Linked DNA regions of Macaca mulatta. The protein of the gene in region 1 interacts with the protein of each later gene in a pairwise test. Links are inferred from orthologs where the notes say so. Each region holds a gene or a part of one and is shown on either strand. Other genes may lie near its edges. The genes, in order: LDOC1, ZNF774 and UTP14A.

Evidence for each region.
Region 2: the proteins of LDOC1 (region 1) and ZNF774 interact in binary tests that used the Homo sapiens proteins (3 or more experiments, as listed by UniProt). The two-hybrid records come from large-scale screens. The link is inferred for Macaca mulatta from reciprocal best matches to the Homo sapiens genes LDOC1 and ZNF774.
Region 3: the proteins of LDOC1 (region 1) and UTP14A interact in binary tests that used the Homo sapiens proteins (3 or more experiments, as listed by UniProt). The two-hybrid records come from large-scale screens. The link is inferred for Macaca mulatta from reciprocal best matches to the Homo sapiens genes LDOC1 and UTP14A.

Annotation. Positions count from the first base shown.
Region 1 is NC_133426.1:147,687,804-147,694,588, forward strand, and holds LDOC1 (protein LDOC1), read left to right. Parts: upstream 1-3,041; 5' UTR 3,042-3,135; coding exon 3,136-3,576; 3' UTR 3,577-4,391; downstream 4,392-6,785. UniProt on the Homo sapiens protein: May have an important role in the development and/or progression of some cancers.
Region 2 is NC_133412.1:80,235,242-80,242,954, reverse strand, and holds the start of ZNF774 (zinc finger protein 774), read right to left. Parts: upstream 4,374-7,713; 5' UTR 4,194-4,373; intron 1,926-4,193; 5' UTR 1,907-1,925; coding exon 1,803-1,906; intron 1-1,802.
Region 3 is NC_133426.1:136,362,677-136,370,289, forward strand, and holds part of UTP14A (U3 small nucleolar RNA-associated protein 14 homolog A), read left to right. Parts: intron 1-1,395; coding exon 1,396-1,466; intron 1,467-2,000; coding exon 2,001-2,065; intron 2,066-4,029; coding exon 4,030-4,172; intron 4,173-4,772; coding exon 4,773-4,928; intron 4,929-7,613. UniProt on the Homo sapiens protein: May be required for ribosome biogenesis.

The DNA.
Region 1 (6,785 bases):
TGGTAGTGCATGCCTGTAATCCCAGCTACTCGGGAGGCTGAAGCAGGAACATCACTTGAACCCAGGAGGCGGAGGTTACAGTGAGTCGAGATCGCGCCACTGCACTGCAGCCTGGGCAACAAGAGCTAAACTCCATCTGAAAAAAAAAAAAAAAAGAAGAAAGAAAGAAAAAAAGTGTGCTCCTAGGAGTGGAACCCTGAGTACTCTTCCTGTATTAGGGCCTGGATATGAAAGGTGGAGCTGGCCACTACCTCTGTCCCAGTCAGGCCCATCCTGTACTCTGAACTATAAATTTGGCAGGAGGATCAGAGACCTACTTTCCACATTTCCCATCCCTCCCCTCAATCCTTACACTGAACATTTATGGAACAACTAGTAAACACTGCCAGGTGCTGAAGATAAAATTAAGAGTGAGAGTGGATCCCTGCCTGCCAACTTCTCAGGTGGCGGAGCTGATAGCACAGGAGAGGCCAAAAGCTCACATTCTTCCTATCTCTTTTTTTCACTGCCCATCCTTTCACCAGTGTCATCTTCCCCAGGTCCCTGCTTGGGTCTTGGCCCTATTTCTCGGCTCTTTCCCAGTCTCCTACTCCCATGGATGATCATTCAATTCTATCCTAAAGGATTGAATTGAACTTCTTTAAAAATCTATTCAGCCAGTTTTATTACATCAGTCATTGTTTCACAATCGAGACTGATTCATGGTCAGAGATAAAATACACTGAACAATTTTTTTTTTTTTTCTGTTTCTCTTTTTTCTTTTTTCTGAGACGTTGTTTTGCTCTTGCTGCCCAGGCTGGAGTGCAATAGTGTGATCTCGGCTCACTGCAACCTCTGCCTCCTGGGTTCAAGTGATTTTCCTGCCTCAGTCTCCCAAGTAGCTGGGATTACAGGCACCTGCCACCACACCTGGCTAATTTTGTATTTTTTGGAAAGACGGGGTTTCTCCATGTTGGTCAGCCTGGTCTCGAACTCCTGACCTCAGGTGATCTGCCCCCCCCCCCGCCCTCGGCCTCCCAAAGTGCTGGGATTACAGGCATGAGCCACCATGCCCAACCTTACACTTAACAATTTAAAGAGTATTATTTAACACTTTGTGCAGCCACAACTTCTAATTTTTATCTCAGCATCTGCACTCTGAGATTATATTACACGCCAAACATTAATGAAGCCTCTACTCTGGGCCAGAACTTATCTAGACATTAGGGATAGACCAGATAGCAAAAGCAGTGTTTCTTTGACTTATATATTCTAAAATGGAAGCAGATGATGAGCAAAGTCCTATATATACATACGACATGGTGGCTAGTAGCACAATAAATGTTATGTAGATAAATGAAGCAGAGTAAAGGGTTACAGATTGGTGGCAGAGAACAGGGTGCTCTGATAGGTCCAGTGGTCAGAAAAGTTCTCTCTGAAAGCAGTAGGAGGAGTCAGGCAGCCAACTGGGATGACATCCTTGCAAAGGAGAAGGGATAGAAGGTGCAAAGGCTATGAAGCCAGAACTGCTTGATGGGTGTGAGAATCAGCAAGGAAGACAGTGATGAGAGCACAGCAGAAAATGGGAAGAGGCACAGGATAGAAGGAGGGGCCTTGTAGGCCTTGGCTGCAACTTTGCTCTTTATTCTGAGGTGAAACTACTGGAGGATTTTGAGCAGGGGCGTGAAGGGATCTAACTGTTTTTTGTTTGTTTGTTTGTTTGTTTTTGTTTTTTTTTTTAGAGATGGAGTCTCGCTTGGTAACCAAGGCTGGAGGAGTGCGCTGGCGCTATCTCGGCTCACTGCCACCTCCGCCTCCCGGGTTCAAGCGATTCTCCTGCCTTAGCCTCCTGAGTAGCTGGAACTACAGGCACCTGCCACCACGCCCCGCTAATATTTTGTATTTTTAGTAGAGACAGGGTTTCACCCTGTTAGCCAGGATGATCTCGATCTCCTGACTCGTGATCCGCCCTCCTTGGCCACCCAAAGTGCTAGGATTACAGGAGTGAGCCACCGCGCCCGATTCCTGTGGCTACTCTATGGAGAATATACTATAGGAAGAAAAGAGTGAAAGCTAAGTGATTAGTTGCAGCAGTCTGGGTGAGAAAGGCTGGGGATCAGGGTGGCAGTGGTAGAAATGACAAGTCATGACTGAATTGGCAATATATTTGAAAGCAGAGCCAACAATTCCTGTCGGCTCTAGGGATCCGTTTAAAGTAGAAAAACAAAATTATTTAAAAACACAAACATCTTAACAGTTCATTTTTAAGTACAGAATAAAACCCAGTGGCCAAAGGCACTAATAGCAGGACAAGAAATAGAGAATCAAAGATATGTGGGATGCCTGCAATTGATTATTGGATGCTGATTTTGCAAAACTTCTTTATATCCTGCTACTTAGGTTTGTTTTTTTTTGTTTGTTTGTTTTAAGGGAGTATGCCATATTATTCCCCTACTAAAGAAGTCACTGTTTAAATACTGCCTTTTTCATGAAAGGCAGGAACCCCTGAAGGTCTTCATGATCCTAAAAGGAAGTGTGAGTCCCACAGTGCAGCCAGCAGTGTCAATACTTCTCTGAGTGAGATTTAAACAAGAAAGAAAATGTGTTAATAAAACATCACGCCAAGAGAATCTAGTGGCCACAGACCCACGAAGGAACAACTGAGTTGTGAGAGTTGCCTAGGTAGAAGGGTGGCTAATCCTTTCAGTTTGAACAAATTTGCCTTCTCTGAGACCAAACTCAGCGCTCGCCAGGTCCTCTGCTAACGCAGGCCCCACAACCAGGAGCTAGGGGAGCCTACCCCAGCCTTTAACTGCCCGCCTAGAGACCTACCACAAGCCGGTGGTTCAGCGACCCAATGCATCCTTTTCCTGGCCACGCCCTCTTTGTCTAAACCCTTCCCATCCCGGCCACGCCCCCACGCAGCCGCGGCCGCCAGTCTGGCCACGCCCCTCCCGCGCCGCGCCGGCGCACCATCCGTCCGAATGGCCTCGTGGGCGGAGCTTGCGTAGCCTCCCGGACCCCGGCGCGCACCGCCCCCCGCCCCCAGCCCCTGGCCATCGAGCGTCTCCGTGGACACGCACTTCCTGCGAGGCCTCCGTGCGCACCTTGGCCGAGCCGAACCGAGCCGAGCCCTGTCCTTCCAGGCTGTTCGCAATGGTGGATGAGCTGGTGCTGCTGCTGCACGCGCTCCTGATGCGGCACCGCGCCCTGACCATCGAGAACAGCCAGCTCATGGAACAGCTGCGGCTGCTGGTGTGCGAGAGGGCCAGCCTGCTGCGCCAGGTACGTCCGCCGAGCTGCCCGGTGCCCTTCCCCGAAACGTTTAATGGCGAGAGCTCCCGGCTCCCTGAGTTTATCGTGCAGACAGCGTCTTACATGCTCGTGAACGAGAACCGATTCTGCAACGACGCCATGAAGGTGGCATTCCTAATCAGTCTCCTCACCGGGGAAGCCGAGGAGTGGGTGGTGCCCTACATCGAGATGGATAGCCCCATCCTAGGTGATTACCGAGCCTTCCTCGATGAGATGAAACAGTGCTTTGGCTGGGATGACGACGAAGACGACGACGACGAGGACGAAGAGGATAATTACTAGGCCCTCGGGCCTCGGGGGGAGGGCCCTGCACGCCGTCACCCCCTCCCCGCAGCCCTCACCCCGCCAGGAGCCAGTGCTCTCCCCCTTGCCCTCCGGTCCCCTTCCCTACCCGCGCCCGTCTGCTCTTTCTTCATTTCTCCGTAGTGCTTGTCTTTGTTCCAGGAATAGTGCTCCAGTTACCTGCTGCTGGGGTTGGGGCTGGAGCCTCACTCACTCGGAAGTGCTTGGAAGTGTCATCTACCCTGGCCATCCCGGGGATCCCTCCCCTGCTAATCTGAACTGTGTCCTGAACCCCAGCTATTGGCCAGGCCCCTGTTACAAACTGCGCAGACCACCCATAGCCCTGCTGCTGCCACCTGCCCTGCTGCCAGGCTTACATCTGCCCAGAGAACTATGCTGCCACTTCACATCCACTCACCACATCCCACCTACAGACTACCGCCTTTCGAGATCAGGACCAACCTGGAAAATGCCAGAGTTGGCTCTGCCTCTTCGGACATTGATTTGGACAGCTCACCAACCCCTGAAGAGGCCAGTCATTCAGCCTGGTTAGTTTTCTACCTACTCCGAGTGTCCTCCCCTGCCATACCAGATTGCTGCAGGGGCGCGGTGTGCCTGACAGCCAAATTGTTGATATTTCTTTTTTCCTATGCACTGGTTTTACACAGCTGTCATTTTTCTTTCAAAATTGCAGCAGTCCCACAGATGTATGCATTTGGACAAATAGTACTAAAAACAAAACAAACAAGCACTCAGCCCAGCTCCTCAATACTACCTGGAAAAAGCATTGGCATTATTTTCAATAAATATCAAGCACTAAAAAACGAAATGATTGTCTTTTAATAGTTAAGTGCTATCACTGACCTCTAGAACTGTCACTGTGACTACCGTTATTCCCATGGAAATCAGGGAATACAACCAATCCTAGGAATCCCTGCTGTCAACTCCAGGCTGCTGGGGACAGCTACCTCAGGGCTTTGTCAGGGTTCTGATGCTTCCTTCACCAACGCATTTCTTAAAGCCCTGGCAAAGGGTGTGTTCTCTGGGTCCTCCAGGGTGGCATGGGTAAGGGTTGGCTGAGCAGATGGCAAAGAGGGCAGTATTAATAATTAGACCGTAACAACAGGCATAAACCAGGACATATATATGTATTGCTCCTAATTCTCTGAGCTTTTGGATTCCTTAATATTGTGCCAGGGAAGTTCTGCCCCTTAATCCTTATTGCCTATATGCAGCTGTTGAGTTCAGGCTCCAGAGAGCCAACATAGTACATTGTCACTTTCAAACTCCAAATAGCCAACATGTCACTTACAGGTGCTCTAGCTAACATTAAGTCCCAGATCCTGGGCAAGTGCATCCATAAAGATATACCCTGATCTTAACAAACATTTCATCCTCCTTGGGCAGACATCCTTAGAATTTCCACTCATAGATGTGTCCCAGATTCCTCCCTATGGAAATTAGCAAGATGCTTGGTTATCTCTTAAATCAGACTTTGTACTGCTATCTGGGGGCTATGCTGAGATCTCTGGGCCTGGAGGGTTCAGAGCAGTGAAGGGGGTGGCTGCTGAGAAGAAACTGCATACCTGTGTGAGGCCATTGCCCCGGGTTAAGTCATTGAAATGTTTAATGCAGAGCAGCTTGGTTGGGGATTTGAGAGGACTACCTCTTAGAAAGGTTTAGGAGGATGTGAGGGGTTCAGAGTTCTCATTTATATCTGTCCAGATGTCCTCCCTCATTGTACCATGTCTGGAGCCAACTTCACTTTATAACCTTTAATTAATTTAGATAACACATTTCCTTACTGTTTAAGGCCTTTTGAGGCAAGATATTTCATTTGTACTGGTAAACCTCAGTGTTGATTAAATGAGATATGGGGCTTCATATTAATCACCTGATAGGTGTGGATTATATGAGATCATACCCATGCAGCATTTAGAACTTTCCCTGCTACATGGTGAGCACTCAGTAAACCATGGGCTGTTACTCCTGGGCCTGGGGACAGAATTCTCAGGAAGCAAGTCTCTGGCTCTGAGCGTGGCTTTAGTAGGAAAATGTCAGCGTAAAGAGGAGCAGAGCAGGTTCAGCGATAATGGAAATGAGAGCATGATAAGACCCCATTTACTTTTTGAAGTCTTATATGAAGCAAGAAACAAAGCTGTTTACGTGGTGAACAGGCAAAGTTCAGGGTAGGAATTATATCTCACACCTAGGATAGCTGTTTCTGGAGGGTGGGGACAGGGGTGAGTATGACTTAATAAAAGAGGCCAAGGCTTGGGTGGAAATGAGATCTGGGGCTCTTCGGGAAGCTGCTGCCTCCAAATCTGAATCAAGGAGACACCTGGTTATTTAGAATTCACTGATCACTTCTCCCAGTCTCCTTGGAAAATATACAAAAACCCTTGGAATACAGAGAGTTTATATTTGAGACATAATATGTGTGAGGCCAGATAATTACACTTTCTTCCTGACTAGAAAGGCCTTGAATTGGGGATAAATGGGGAAAAGTGAGCAAGATCTAAAAGGTAAAGGATCCAGTGAGACTAAAAATCATTTATTCCAAACTGATTATGGCCCAGTTATGCTGAGTGGAGTTATATCATTGAATAAAATGTCATCTCTGCCTTCATAGTTAGTCCAGTCTGCTACTTTTACTGTGCCTTGGGCCAGAACTTCGATGATTAGTTACAGGAAAGGGCCAGGAAGAGAATCTGGGCTGTGATTAGATCTAGGAATGACCTTTCTGGGGTGGAAGTTGAGGACATATGAGTATGTGTTCTGTGGAGGAAGGGAGGGTCAGTAAGGATGCCATGCCGAGGCAGCATCTGAATGGCATCTGGGAGAACTAGGCCAAGGAGCTTCTGTGATCTGAAATGTACATTTCCTGAGTATGTGTGCATGTGCACATGAGCTTGCTGTGACCCTGTATGTGTGTGCTGTGTGTGTGTGTGTGTATGTGTTAGGTGATGTCCTTCATGCATCATGGACGAACAGGTTATGCTGTGAGATGCACAAAAGGAAAGTGTGAGATTCTGGTTACTCTGGGGACAGATTCTGCAATAAAAGTGCAGATATTGGCAAGGGCTCCATCACCCAGGGAGGAATTCCTGATAATGGCATAAAGCATTGCAAAAAAGAAGGAAGAAGTAGAAGTATGTCTAAGGATGGAAGTGCCACTTCTATCAAAACTATTAAAAATAGGTAGGAAT
Region 2 (7,713 bases), on another chromosome or scaffold:
GAACTCCTGTGCTCAAGGGATCTCCTGCCTCAGCCTCCCAAGTAGCTCAGGCAATTGCTATTTTTATAGGTTAAAAAAAGGTCAGATATATGGTTCAATCTAATGTTTGACTTCAACAACAAAATAATATTGTATTCCATAAAACAAAACACTAGGTGGTTATTTTAAGTGATGTAAAGAAAGATATTTATTGTTGTCAAAATATATTCATGATACAACATGGAAGAAAGAATGTGCAGCTGAATGTACAGTATAATCCCAATATTATCCTTTTGTGCTTGTTTTAAAATCATATACATGCTTAGAAAAATGCTGGTAGGATAGTAACTCTTCAGTGGTGGGATTAGGGATGACGTTTGTTTTCATTTTGATTGTCTTTTGCTTTAATGAGTATACATTACTTGTATAATAGATGAAGTAGGCCAGGTGCAGTGGCTCACGCATCTAATCCCAGCACTTTGGGAGGCCAAGGCCAGTGGATCACTTGAGGTCAGGAGTTCAAGACCCGCCTGGCCAACATGGTGAAACCTCAACTCTACTAAAAATACAAAAATTAGAGTGCGGTGGCTCTCTCCTGTAATCCCAGCACTTTGGGAGGCCGAAGTGAGCGGATCGCTTGAGGTCAGGAGTTTGAGACCAACCTGGCCCACATGGAGATAACCCATCTCTACTAAAAATACAAAAAAATTATCCAGGAATCGCTTGAACCCAGGAGGCAGAGGTTGCAGTGAGCCGAGATCGCACCACAACACTACAGCCTGGGTGACAGAGTGAGACTCTGCCACAAAAAAAAAAAAAAGTAAAGCAGAAGGAAGGGTAGCCAGGATATTTGGGAAAGAGCAATTGGAGGTATTTTGTTTGTTTGTTTGTTTGTTTGAGACAGAGTCTTGCTCTATTGCCTAGGCTGGAGTGCAATGGTACGGTCTCGGCTGACTGCAACCTCCGCCTCCCAGGTTCAAGCGATTCTCCTGCTCAGTCTCCAGAGTAACTGGGATTACAGGCGCCTGCTACCACACGCAGCTGATTTTTATATTTTTAGTAGAGATGGGGTTTCATCATGTTGGCCAGGCTGGTCTTGAACTCCTGACCTTGTGATCCACCCACCTCGGCCTATCAAAGTGCTGGGATTACAGGCGTGAGCCACTGCACCCAGCCTGTTTTTAAGTGACAGAAAAAATTACCTCCTTTTCCACAAAGACCTCAGAAGTCTCAAAAGTTAAGTGGCAGAGGTGAGAGTTCAACCCAGGCTGGAAAAGGGGGACAGTAATACATATATCAAAAAGTTATGATGAGATATTAAAAAGACAATAAATAGCAAAGATATTTACAAACCATAAAATGCATAAAGACGTAATTCTTTTTCTGCCAAGGAGGCAACAATGAATCTTACAGAGGTCTGGAGCTCTAAGGCACCAACACACCAGAGACTACTCAGACCTGGGCCCTTTATCTAAGTTTCAAATTAAAGGAGAGTAGTGGCCAGGCATGGTGGCACCCATAATCCCAGCACTTTGGAAGGTGGAAGCAGTGGATTGCTTGAGCTCAGGAGTTTGAGACCAGCCTGGCCAACATAGCAAAATCCTGTCTCTACTAAAAACACCAAAAACTAGCTGGGCATGGTGGCACATGCCTGTGATCCCAGCTACTCAGGAGGTTGAGGTGGGAGAATTGCTTGAGCCCAGGAGGCAAGGGTTGCAGTGAATCGAGATCACGCCACTGCACTCCAGCCTGGATGACAGAGCGAGACCCCATCTCAAAAAAACAAGATAAATAAATAAAATAAAGGAGAGTAGCATTCTTACCCTTTGATAGCCCATTCTTCTAACTGTGCTGGGTGGCATTCCTGAAGAGGATTCTCTAAGCAGTGTCCAGGTAACCCACTCTTCCCTGAAGTCCTCAGCCACATTATCAAGGGTCATCAGTTCCTAAAGCAAGAGACCTCGATATGCATCAGTAGCTCCCTAGGTATTCTCACCATTGTCTGAAAGCCAAAAAATGGCCATCAGTGTACACAAACAACCCCCCACACCTGATCAGAATGGTCCTGAGGTAAATTCTGTCAACCACAGAGGGTTGCTTTTCTTAGTCTGTTTTTACATACATCTTCTCCTGGCCAACTTTCCCATTACTAAGAGAGGCCTAGGCCTCCCAAACACATGGACAGAACCCAGTCTTTTAGATACATTAACTTTTTGAGGAAAAAATTGTCCACGATGAACAAGGTAAACAAAGGAGAGAGTTGGTAGGTACAATTTGATTTCTGGAAAGCTTTTGATTCTCCCCAACTTCATTTTCCTCAGCAACCAAGGAAATTGTGGACTTAACTATACTCATATTAGTTATGAGAACAGCTGACTTCTTGGCTTGCAGATTTGGGGTCAACCTCAAGGGACAGATTATGCAGAACCCCAAAGAGAACTGTGTTGGATACCACTCTATTTCAAGATCTTAATGGAGTCAGAAATAAGACTGAAAAAGACATGTTTTTTTTTTTTTAAAAAAAGACATGGATAGGTTGTAAAAATAAGTGAAAGTCAATGGGGATAAGCACAAAACACAACTCTTAGAGGCTGAAACCAATCATTAATATATTAATAAATTGACAGCAATATCATGAAAAACATTACTTTTTGGAGGATAGTCAGAGTCAACTACTGGATGGATCAGTAATTTATTCAACAATCAATATGTTGCCAGGCATAGGAGTCACAAAGAAATTAAGATAATGTTTTTTCCCTTAAAAACTTTCCAATACACCAGCCTCAGCAACATATTGAGACCCCTTTCTCTACAAAGAACTTTTAAAAATCAGCCAGGCATGGTGGCATGCACTTGTGGTCCCAGCTACTCAGGAGGCTGAGGTGGGAGGATCACTTCAGCCCAGGAGTTCAAGGCTGCAGTGAGCTATGATGGCGCCACTGCACTCCATGCACTCCAGCCTAGCAACAGAGTGAGCCCCTGTCTCTCCCTTAAAAAAAAAAAAAAAAAATTCAGCCAGCATGACCACCCACTACAAAGAATATTGCATTTCACGGGAGGAAGGACCAGACTAGGGTGAAGAAGTTTTACTCTTTCACATCTTTTGTCCCACTACAAAGCACCTATTTACTACTGGAACACAGATACAGACACAGACACACACACACACACACACACACACACACTTTTGGGGAAAATATTTATGTATTTACAGACATTATTATTGGTCATTTATAAAGTATTGAGTTTTTAAGGATCTAAAAACCATTGCTCTGGTTTAAAACTTTAACAAACAACAATAATGTAATTAGAAAGTAAAAATGGTAATAACAGTTTTCAGTATTGGTCGGGCGCTGTGGCTCATGACTGTAATCCCAGCACTTTGGGAGAACGAGATGGGCAGATCACCTGGGGTCAGGAGTTCGAGATCAACCTGGCCAACATGGTGAAACCCTGTCTCTACTAAGAATACAAAATTAGCCGGGTGTGGTGGCGCACACCTGTAATCCCAACTACTCGGGAGGCTGCGGCAGGAGAATCGCTTGAACCCGGGAGGCAGAGACTACAGTGAAGGGAGATAGCACCGTTGCATTCCAGCCTGGGCAACAAGAGCGAAATCCCCTCTAAAAAAAAAAAAAAAAAAAAGTAGAAGAAGAAAAAGGAAAAAAAAAAAAGAGCTTTTAGTATAATTTTTATTTCTACATTCATTACAAAACACAGCTGCAGGGCCCCCTTGCTGGAGACTTCTTAGCCACGGTTATAGAAACCCTGTTTCCCAGCCCGTCCCTTTCCCCATGCGCAGATGACCTCAAAGGCCCTACAGCTCTGAGGGGCTGTGACTAAGTGCCATTGTGAGAATCTCCAGTGCGTTCACCGGGTTTATTAATAGGAACATGACTGCACGCGTGGGGCTGAACCCCGTTCTTCTTCTCGGTGCTGGGGCCCTAACCAGGGTGCGGCGGTCAGAGGGTGGCAGATCAGCTGAAACCCGGGGACCACCATCGAGAAGCAAGAAAACTCATTAAGAGAATGACTTATCTCGACGACGGTATAGAGACCACAGCTACCTCTCCCACACCCCAGCAAGACCCGGGGGCTCCCAAAGGCCAGCGTGGGAACCCCTCTGAGAAAACGTCTGGGTGGCGGGCGAGCCCCCTCCACGCCTCTCAGCAGCGCGCCGCTGCCGCCGCAGTCTCCCTCCTTGGATCACTCACCGCCCCAGGGCCCAGCTGGGGATGGAGCAGGAAGTGAGTCCTCCACCGCCGAGCCGCACCCGGCCCGCAACCCCGAGGCGGTCCCTCCCAGAACCCGACCGGGATTCGTGACAGGGCTGTGGGGACACAGGTGGGACTCAGGCTTCGACAGCTCGCAGCCGGAAAGTACCGCCCCTGTCCTCTTGCTATTGGCTTTTTAGTTTCCATGGCTAGAATGTTTCTCTGTCCATAGGCTGACAGAGCTATCAATTACCGCCTAGCCTTCTGGGAAACGTAGTCCCGAGCAAGACCTCAAAGGACTCGGAGCCTTGGATATCCAGTTCCAAGCGTTGAAAAGTGCTAAACCCAATTCCCCAGCTACCGGCCCCCAGGAACCGCCTGTTTGGAGCCTAGGGATCTAAATGCCGTACCCTCAGTGTGGCATCTGCTGATGTGAATCTCCTGGCCTCACCCACCTACCGCGGAGCAGCCTGGTGCCCAACGTGAGGTCTCCCGCGCTCTGGCACCTCGCCCCTCCCCAGCGCAGAGCAGCTCAGCCCTCTGGCCTTTGCAGCCTCTCTTCTGCCCAGTCTTCCACCTCACACCCGGCGGCCGGAGCCTGCAGAGTGTTTGCGGAGGCCGGGTCCCAGACCAACTCAAACTGGACATAAGGAAGGCCCAGCAGACGCCCTTAGGAGAAAACAGACATTCCGTATCCTTCCCTTGGCATCAAACTCCCAGGCGCATCCCCTTTCCGTCTGGTTGATAGCCAGAGGAGGCGGGCGAGGGCATCAAGTATTCTGGGAAATGTGATATTGGGCTTCAAACTGGGGAGGCTCCTGGGTCTCATGTGAAAGCCAGTGGTCACTTTGGGTCGGCCCCTAGCTAAAAAATAATGTCTTTCCTTAAAGTGAAGAAAATGTGCCTGTCTACTCCGTTTGTTGATTCAGTGTAATTTAGAAAAAGAAAGACCATTTTGTGATGTACTATAAAACGCTTAGAATTGCTAGCCATAGAGTTAATGTTGAAGATCCCTTTGATGCTAATTCCACCATTCCTTCAACAAAAATAGGGTGCATTTTCCAGTGGATATTTATTGGGAACATTCTATACTCAAGATCGTTCTGGGAACTGTGGTTACTCGGGAATCATACATAACCATTACCTTCATGAAGTTTACAGGCCAAAAGGGGAGATAAACCATAAAAGGTATCAAAATCCTAAGTAGGCCGGGCGCGGTGGCTCAAGCCTGTAATCCCAGCACTTTGGGAGGCCGAGACGGGCGGATCACGAGGTCAGGAGTTCGAGATCATCCTGGCTAACACGGTGAAACCCCGTCTCTACAAAAAAATACAAAAAACTAGCCGGGCGAGGTGGCGGGCGCCTGTAGTCCCGGCTACTCGGGAGGCTGAGGCAGGAGAATGGCGTAAAAACCCGGGAGGCAGAGCTTGCAGTGAGCTGAGATCCGGCCACTGCACTCCAGCCTGGGCGACACAGTGAGACTCCGTCTCAAAAAAAAAAAAAAAAAATCCTAAGTAATATTTTGTCTTTTTTTTTTTCATATAGCCAGTTGCATCTTAGTTATTTTGCTACAATTGTAGTCATCTGCAAGATAACTACATTGCATTTTCAGAAACTCTGTCGACTGTGAACAAATACCTGGTTAGCAGAGGTAGTTAGATGTAGTTAGATTTAGTCAGATGAAAATGAGGAAAATGGAAATCCCAGAGGAGCTCAGTAACAAAGGAATGCCCAGGAAACCTAGGGATTGCCAGGCCTTCTGTAACTGACAGAGTTCAGGACCTGGAGAACTGAAGGCATCTTCAGGCCCCTCGGTAAGTCTTTCTAGCATTTTGCCATCAGGGAGATCATGAAGATTACTCTTCAATCTGGGACTGGAGTGGGGAGATGAATGAAGAGTCACAGAATCTGGCTGGTGGCTATCCCTGTCACTCTCTCCAGCTTCTGTTCCTTCTGCCTTACCTTGTTCTCTCAGCGGTTTGTTCACAATGATCAGGTGTGTGGGGAGTGATGGAAAGGAAGTTTGGTCTCATGACAAGAGCAGTCAGTGCAGGAAACCAATCGTGTACCCGCAATGGCCACCTGAAGAGAGGATCATGACCTGTTGGGGGTTGGGTGCTAAAGGGCGTGGCTGAGAGGAGGCATAGAGGAGCGAGGAAAAACTGTGAAAGGACTTCAAGGAGCATGAAAACAGAGAAAGACTTCAGCAGTTAATAGAACTGAATTTATTTTGTTTTATTTATTTTATTTTATTTTTTGAGACTGAGTCTTGCCCTGTTGCCCAGGCTGGAGTACAGTGGCGCGACTGCAGCTCACTGCAACCTCCGCCTCCTGGGTTCAAGCAATTCTCCTGCCTCAGCCTCCCAAGTAGCTAGGATTACAGGCGTGCACCACCACGCCGGCTAATTTTTTATATCTTTAGTAGAGACCGGTTTTCACCATGTTGGCAAAGCTGGTCTCGAACTCCTGACCTCAGGTGATCCGCCTGCCTCGGCCTCCCAAAGTGCTGCGGTTACAGGCGTGAGCCATCGCACCCGGCCAGAACTGATTTTTTTTTAAAGAGAGAGTCTATCATCTGTTGCTGTGTAACAAATTACCCCCAAATTTATTGGTTGAAAAACCAAATATTTGGTTTTGTGCTCCCAGCTGTTCGGAAAAGCCGCCAGTATTTCTCCACCTGGCTTTCCTCTACCACCAGGCAGGAGCACCTGAGGTCCCCCTCCCACCCCACATTCCGCCCGCCCGCACACTCGGACCACCGCTGTTGATATTTCTGCCCCTATTCTGAGCACACATCAGCGGAGGGAGCGGGACGCGGCCTGCGGTCAGCGGCGAAGAAGGCAGGCCCTGCGCGGGAATCTCGGAAGCCATGTGATTCATCATGAAGTTCCAGTACAAGGAGGACCATCCCTTTGAGTAGCGGAAAAGGGAAGCAGAAAATATCCGGAAGAAATATCCGGACAGGGTACCTGTGATTGTAGAGAAGGCTCCAAAAGCCAGGGTGCCTGATCTGGACAAGAGGAAGTACCTAGTGCCCTCCGACCTTACCAATGGCCAGTTCTACTTCTTAATCCGGAAGAGAATCCACCTGAGACCTGAGGACGCCTTATTCTTCTTTGTCAACAACACAGTCCCTCCCACTAGTGCTACCGTGGGCCAACTGTATGAGGACAGTCATGAGGAAGATGATTTTCTGTATGTGGCCTACAGTAATGAGAGTGTCTATGGGAAATGAATGGTTGGAAGCCCAGCAGATGGAAGCATCTGGACTTGGGGGTAGGGGAGGGGTGTATGCGCGACTTGGGGAAAGAGAGGGCGGCTCCCACCGCGAGGAGACAGAAGGTGAAGACATCTAGAAACTACACCGCATACACCGTCATCACATTTTCACATGCTCAATTGATATTTTTTGCTGCTTCCTCAGCTCAGGGAGAAAGCTTATCAGGACGGAGCTGTTGCATTGGCTTTGATAGAGGAATGGGGATGATGTAATTTTACGGCATTCCTGAGATTTAATTTT
Region 3 (7,613 bases), about 11 Mb from region 1:
GGTCAGGAGTTCAAGACCAGCCTGGCCAACACGGCAAAACCCTGTGTCTACTAAAAATACAAAAATTAGCTGGGTGTGGTGGTGTGTGCCTATAATCCCAGCTACTATTGAACCCAGGAGGTGGAGGTTGCAGTAAGCCAAGATCACGCCACTGCACTCCAGTCTGGGCAATAGAGCAAGACTCCGTCTCAAAAAAAAAAAAAAAAAAAAAAAAAAGACTGAAACACATGGTCCTCATATGATATGATTTCCCAAGTTTGGATTTCTATAGAGCGTTATTTAATTATCTGACTGAAATATGCATATGTATTTTAAGCTGGATCTCCAACAGATGCTATAAGAATTCCAATTCTTTATTTCCCTTACAAAAAAACACTTTTTTTTTCCCTTGGGTTGGGGGCACACAACACATCTATTTTAATAACAAGGAGGGTGTTTTTTTTTGTCTATTTTTTTCTGCTTGTCGTGTTCTTCGTAGGAAAAGCCAACTTAACTTGGAGGCCGGGTGTGGTGACTCACACCTGTAATCCCAGCACTTTGGGAGGCCAAGGCGGGTGGATGACTGGAGGCCAGGAGTTCAAGACCAGTCTGGCCAACATGGTGAAACCCCGTCTTTACTAAAAATACAAAAATTAGTTGGGTGTGGTGGCACTCGCCTGTAATCCTAGCTATTCCAGTGGCTGGGGCAAGAGAATCACTTCCAGGAGGTGGAGGTTGCAGTGAGCTGAGATCACACCACTGCACTCCTTCCTGGGCAACAGAGCGAGACTCTGTCTCAAAGAAAAAAAAGCTAACTTTGTAACTGGCTATGACTTACACTATATGTCAGGGTTTCCATGTTAGATCATACTATATATTTTATACAGAAACACCATTTTAAGCCCTTTTTGTCTAGAAGCAAGTTAGGACAGACACATGACATTAGCTCCCTTTTAGTTTGAGCTGGAATGCTTGCACACCAGACCTCTTCCAATTCCCCAGTTCTCTACTGACCAAAAGAACAAGAGATTTGGCCGGGCGTGGTGGCTCACGCCTGTAATCTCAACACTTTGGGAGGCCAAGGCAGGCAAATCACAAGGTCAGGAGATCGAGACCATCCTGGCTAACACAGTGAAACCCCATCTCTACTAAAAATACAAAAAATTAGCCAGGTGTAGTGGCGGGCGCCTGTGGTCCCAGCTACTCAGGAGGCTGAGGCAAGAGATTGGCATGAACCCGGTGGTGGAGCTTGCAATGAGCTGAGATCATGTCACTGCACTCCAGCCTGGACCACAGAGCGAGACTCTGTCTCATAAATAAATAAATAAAGAGCAAGAGATTTTATGTGAGACTCAATTTCCATGTTGTCTTTTCCCTCCCCCTCATCGTGATGGTTTTTCCTTTTCTGTGTCTTAGGGGGACAATGATGGAGAGAGAGAGCATCAAAAGCTTCTGGAAGCAATCAGTTCCCTTGATGGAAAGAATAGGTAACGTTCCTGTCAGTTACGGCAGGTTATATAGTTGATTCCATGAGATTTCTCTGCAGCTAATATTTATTGAGTGCTTCATGTAAAGACCTTAATACCAGTGCCTAGCATATAGTAAGCATTATGTAATTGTTAGCTATTACTAGTCTTAGTGCTATTACTGTAAGCATTTGCAGTCTTATTCCACAATGAAAATCTTTTAAAGCATTGAGTAGGCATTACTTAACCCCATTAGAGAAGTAAATTGACTTACCCCCAAGGTCAGCTGGCTAATATGTTATAGGTTCAGGTGTGTTTAATCTAAGTCCAATATGTTTTCCACTATGCTTACCTTGTAATAAAGAGAAGAGATGAGGGTTAGATAACCAAGTCCAAGTTAGGAACAGATCTCCTTGCTGCATCATGACAAAACCTGACCCTAGAAGAAATACAAGAAACCAAAGCCCTGTATGAAGAGAGAAGTGTTTGTCTCTCCCACCCCTAAGCCCCCATAAAATTTATCCATTCCTATTATATCGTTTTGCCTAATTTCAGGCGGAAATTGGCTGAGAGGTCTGAGGCTAGTCTGAAGGTGTCAGAGTTCAATGTCAGTTCTGAAGGTAAGTTGAACAAAAGAAGATACCCATGCATGAAACTTGTGGGGTTCCAAGGGCATAGTGTTCACCTCACCTCCCAGGAACTGTTTTTGATGTGGTTAATGACTCATACCATAAATACCTGGGAGAGTGGGTGAAGAAGTGTAGTCAGATGCCCTTCAGTTTCTTCCATCTCTCAAAGCCTAGAAGGCTGTGGTCAAGGTATGCTACCGAGTTTGATGAGATACTTCTAGGATAGAGGGACATGAATGAAGACAGCTGCCTCTTAGTAACTTAGTCATAATTCATATTTGTACAATTTCATTTTAATTTCAGTTCTCTTAACAATGCTTTGAGTTAGGAGACAGGCAAATGTTCTCTTCAGCCAGAGCTCAGAGAAGTCAAGTTACTTGTTCAAGGGCCTTTGCCTAGTACAGTGTTTTTCAACCTTTGCTTTTTTACTGCTCCCCTGAGAGGAGCCTTTTAAGACATTTTTTCCTCATTGTATCCCTCCCACTATGCCCCTTCCCCAGGAAATCAAGTCCTAAGGAATAAGAGTTTGTTGGACAGAGTTGAGCCTTGGAGGGACACAAAACATTGTAATATCTAAGATTCTTTTCATACTCCTCCAGAAAGAACCAATTTTCACCCTGGGGTGGGGGGGGTGGTAAAAATTGCCCCTGTTCAGAATACATGCTCTAATAAGTGGCAGCCGTGGGATTTTATCCTAATACTGAGTCTAGATGCCAAATCTTTTTCACCCTGTTCACAACTTAGGCAGCTAGAATGGGTTTTGCATTCGTAGTAATCACTGGTGTAGCCTCCTAGGGCAAATAACAATGTATTCCAAGCATACTCATTCAGCGGATATTTATTGTGTTTCTACTAGGTAGCAGTATCAGGAAGTGTTGTAGATACCAAGGCCACAGTAGCGAATAAGATGTGAGCTCCTGGGGCTTACTTTCTAATAAAGGGAGACAATAAGAGAGGATGATGCAATAAAGCGACTAAGTGGCTACTTTAGATTGGTTGGTCATGAAAGGCCCCTGAAGAGGCAAAATTGAAGCTGAGATCTGAATGACAAGTCAAGTGAACCATGCAAAGATTAGGGAAAGTATTTCAGGCCAGGGAACAGCTAGCACAAAGGCTCTAAGGTAGAAACATGCACAGCATGTTGAAGAATGGGAAAGAGGACCCTGTGACAAGAGCATGGTGGAGGGTGGGGGGTGACATGAGGTTAGAGAGGCAGATGGGGATTAGATCTCATAGGACCGTGTCGTTTAGGTAGATGAGATTCAAAGTATAATGGGGAGTCACTGGAGGATTTTCAGCAGCGTCATGACATGCTGTGGTTTATATTTTCAAAAGATCATTTTGGGCTGGGTGCAGTGGTTTACACCTGTAATCCCCAGCATTTTGGGAGGCCGAGGTGGGCAGACTGCTTCAGCCCAGCAGTTTGAGGCTGGCCTGGGCAACATGGCACAACCCTATCTCTACAAAAAAAGATGCAAAAAATTAGCCATGCGTGGTGGCACATGCCTATAGTGCCAGCTACTTGGGAGGCTGAAGTGGGAGGATTGCCTGAGCCTGGGAGGCAGAGATGGCATCACTGCTCTCCAGCCTAAGTGACAGAGTGAAACCCTGTCTCAAAAGAAAACAAACAAAAGAAATACCACTTTGGTTGTTTTTATTTTTGGCTGTTATGTGAAGAATGAATTGCAATAGGGCAAGAGTAGAAGCACCAGGAGAAAAGAAAATGAGTTTTGAATAAACATTTTCCCCTATCTTCTACCCCCTAACACGTTTGGGGATAAATGTAGAGTGATAGTGTTGGCCTGGCTAGAAATAGGCAATTGAAGTAAGAGAATTATTCCTGCTTCTCTGCACATTTGCCATCTACTGGCATTTTCTACTGAGGCTTCTGCCTACATTATATTGAGATCTTGCCTCACTTCTTGGTCTGACTAGAAAGTTTGACCTTTCTACAGGATCAGGAGAAAAGCTGGTCCTTGCAGATCTGCTTGAGCCTGTTAAAACTTCATCTTCTTTGGCCACTGTGAAAAAGCAACTGAATAGAGTCAAATCAAAGAAGACAGTGGAGTTACCTCTGAACAAAGAAGAGATTGAACGGGTAAGCTATACAGAAGGTGGTCTATTAAGGGAAAGAAATTGTGTTGACAAGGGAAAATAGGGTAATAGAAAGAAGGGAAAGACCTGAAAAATGGGAGAAGGGGGAGCTGTGATTTCCCCACTATGGATAAGATTAAAAATAATCTAGGAGTGCCAGGCGCAGTGGCTCACGTCTGTAATCCCAGCACTTTGGGAAGCCGAGGCAGGCGGATCACCTGAGGTCAAGAGTTCGAGATCAGCCTGGCCAGCATGGTGAAACCCCGTCTCTACTAAAAATGCAAAATGAGCCTGGTGTGGTGGCACACGCCTGTAATCCCAGCTACTTGGGAGGCTGAGGCAGGGGAATCGCTTGAACCAGGAGGTAGAGGTTGCAGTGAGCCGAGATCGTACCATTGCTCTCCGGCCTGGGCGACACAAGTGAAACTCCATCTAAATAATAATAATCTAGGAGAAATTGCAGTCCTGAGAAGCAAGCAGTAACCTCTAGCATCCTGATTCTTTCGTGGGCTAAGAAACGTTGTTTCCTAATTTCTTGTTAGTCCTTTGGGTTTGATGCTTTAATCTTGTGGCTCTTTCCTTTTACATACTTTGTCTGCTTCAGATCCACAGAGAAGTAGCATTCAATAAAACCGCAAAAGTCCTCTCCAAATGGGACCCTGTCGTCCTGAAGAACCGGCAGGCAGAGCAGCTGGTTTTTCCACTGGAGAAGGAGGAGCCAGCCATTGCTCCCATTGAACATGTGCTCAGTGGCTGGAAGGTGAGTACAACAAAATGAAACTGAACTTCATTGAAAGGTGAGATTTTATAAGTTGGAGATTTCAGAGCCTGCAATTGATTTGATTGGACATGTTAAGCTAAACCCCAGCATAAGTCATTTTAGCTTAGTGCTCAGAAGGAAGGGATTGCCCATAGTCATTGTCAGTCATGTGACTGACATGTCAGTCACAATAGCTCTGTGATCACTTTTTTTTTTTTTCTTGAGACAGGGTCTCGCTCCGTCACCCAGGCTGGAGTGCGGTGGCACGATCTCAGCTCACTGCAACCTCCGCCTCCTAGGTTCAAGCGATTCTCCTGCCTTAGCCTCCCAAGTAGCTAGGATTACTGGCACGCACCAACACACCCAGCTAAATTTTTTGGGGGATTTTTAGTAGATACAGGGTTTCGCCATGTTGGCCAGGCTGATCTCAAACTCCTGACCTCAAATGACCCGCCCACCTCAGTCTCCCAAAAGTTTTGTGATTACAGGAATGATGAGCCAACGCGCCCAGTCTCTGTGTCACTTTTCATCTGCTTGTAGTATACAGTACTTGGCTATTTCCATGTTTTTGTGTTAAACCATGTGATTGCCCTTATAGCGGGAACATAATAATGTTTTCTTTCTTTTACTCCAGTTTTTTAAAAGCATTTAAAGCCACATTCTGATCCTAGGGAAATCAGGAACTCGGTAGTATTAATGATGCCTTAGTGAGGATATGTGAACAACAGAAGCCAAAGTTTGCTTGTACAGGAATGAATACCACATTAAAATATGTGTTGCTGGCAATGACTAGAACTTCAGCAGGTGACTTATTATGACTCTGAGCTGCAGGGCAGGGGTTTAGAGCTGGGTTTCCCAAACACTAACCCCTAACAAAGTTTTTGTCTAAAACAAAAGGATAATTGTAAGTATGTTTGTTTGGTGGGTGTAATGTTGCCAGTTCTTTTTTATTATGAGGTTATTCTTTCTATTTTAGTGGTGTTGAAATGTCTTTTCTTCTATGAAATGATGGTGGTAGTAAATGATGGGATTGGGGATGAAATGGTAGTTATGCTCTTGGCAAAATTAGAAGTTGGAAATCCTATGTTGGTCCCTAAAGTCTCGGTTTTTAGTCTGAATAGCTGCTTTAGAACAGCTAGCCTACTTTTCCAATACACCATTGGTATGGAGTCTATAGTCTATAATGGGCTGATTAATCTTAAATAGATGCCCTCTTTGTGCTTCTCCTCTTTACTTTCCAAAAACCCAAGAATAGTAGTTTCTTAGGTGTTGGGAAGTTGAGCTAATTAAAGCTAATCAAAGTAAACATTGCTTGCCACAATAGCTAGAAATTGAGCGAGTAGTTGCTTATTATGGGGATAAGCTGTTTCTGATGTTTTTGCTGAAGTCACTACCATTCTCTTTCTAGGAGGCTTCCTTTTCTACATGAAAAAGAGATCAGGTTTAAAGTGTGGCTGCAGGATGAAGGGAGACTTTAGAAAAAAAAAAAATCAGAGGTAATACAATTTGTAGGATTCAAAAATAAAAAAGCATAGAAGATATGTAGTGAAAAGTTTGACTCCACCCTCTGCCCCATCTGATCATTTTTACCCCCATACTCACCACTTGCATAAGTTTGCTGTTGTTGTTGTTGAGTTTCATTTTTATATTCACGTTTACCTCCTTTTTAAATAAAAAGAATGGTAGCATGCTACTACACACTGTCCTCCACCTTGCTTTTTCCAAATGACAGTGTAATCTTGGAGATAGCAGGAAAATGCCAAGTTTGTTATTAAAAACGAGATGGGGCCGGGCGTGGTGGCTCACGCCTGTAATCCCAGCACTTTGGGAGGCCGAGGCGGGTGGATCACCTGAGGTCAGGCGTTTGAGACCATCCCGGCCAACATGGCGAAACCCCATCTCTACTAAAAATACAAAAATTAGCGGGGCATGGTGGTGTGTGCCTGTAATCCCAGCTACTAGGGGGGCTGAGGCAGGAGGATCACTTGAACCTCAGAGGCGGAGGTTGCAGTGAGCCGAGATCGTGCCACTGCACTCCAGCCTGGGCAACAGAACAAGACTCCATCTCAAAATATATACATAAATAAATAAAAAATAAAAACTAGATGGTAGTGGAGGAGGTTACACTAAGAATAGCACAACCTCTTCAAGATAGAGTGAGGCTCAGATGTTATACATTGAATATGCCATGCCATTCATTCATTCTAAGACTGACTTTTGAGAAATTATGCTAGTAGGGCACAGAGAAATAAGGAAGTGCTTAGTTCAGAGGGTGCTTTGTGGCTAGCAACTCCTAGGTCTCTCCTTACAACTTACAGTGCAAAGTACCAACAACTAGTATATGCTGTATTAGGGTTTCTAGAGATTGAATATCAAGTCTCAGGCTGGGCACGGTGGCTCACGCCTGTAATCCAAGCACTTTGGGAGGCTGAAGCAGGTGGATCACCTGAGGTCAGGAGTTCAAGACCAGCCTGGCCAACATAGTGAAACCTCATCTTTACTAAAAATACATAAAAGAGCCAGGCATGGTAGCACATGCCTGTAGTCTCAGCTGCTGAGGAGGCTGAGGCAGGGGAATTTCTTGAAGCCAGGAGGCGGAAGTTGCAATGAGCCGAGATCATACCACTGCACTCCAGCCTGCAAAAAAAAAAAAAAGAAGAAAATTGAAAGTCTGTACTATAGTTT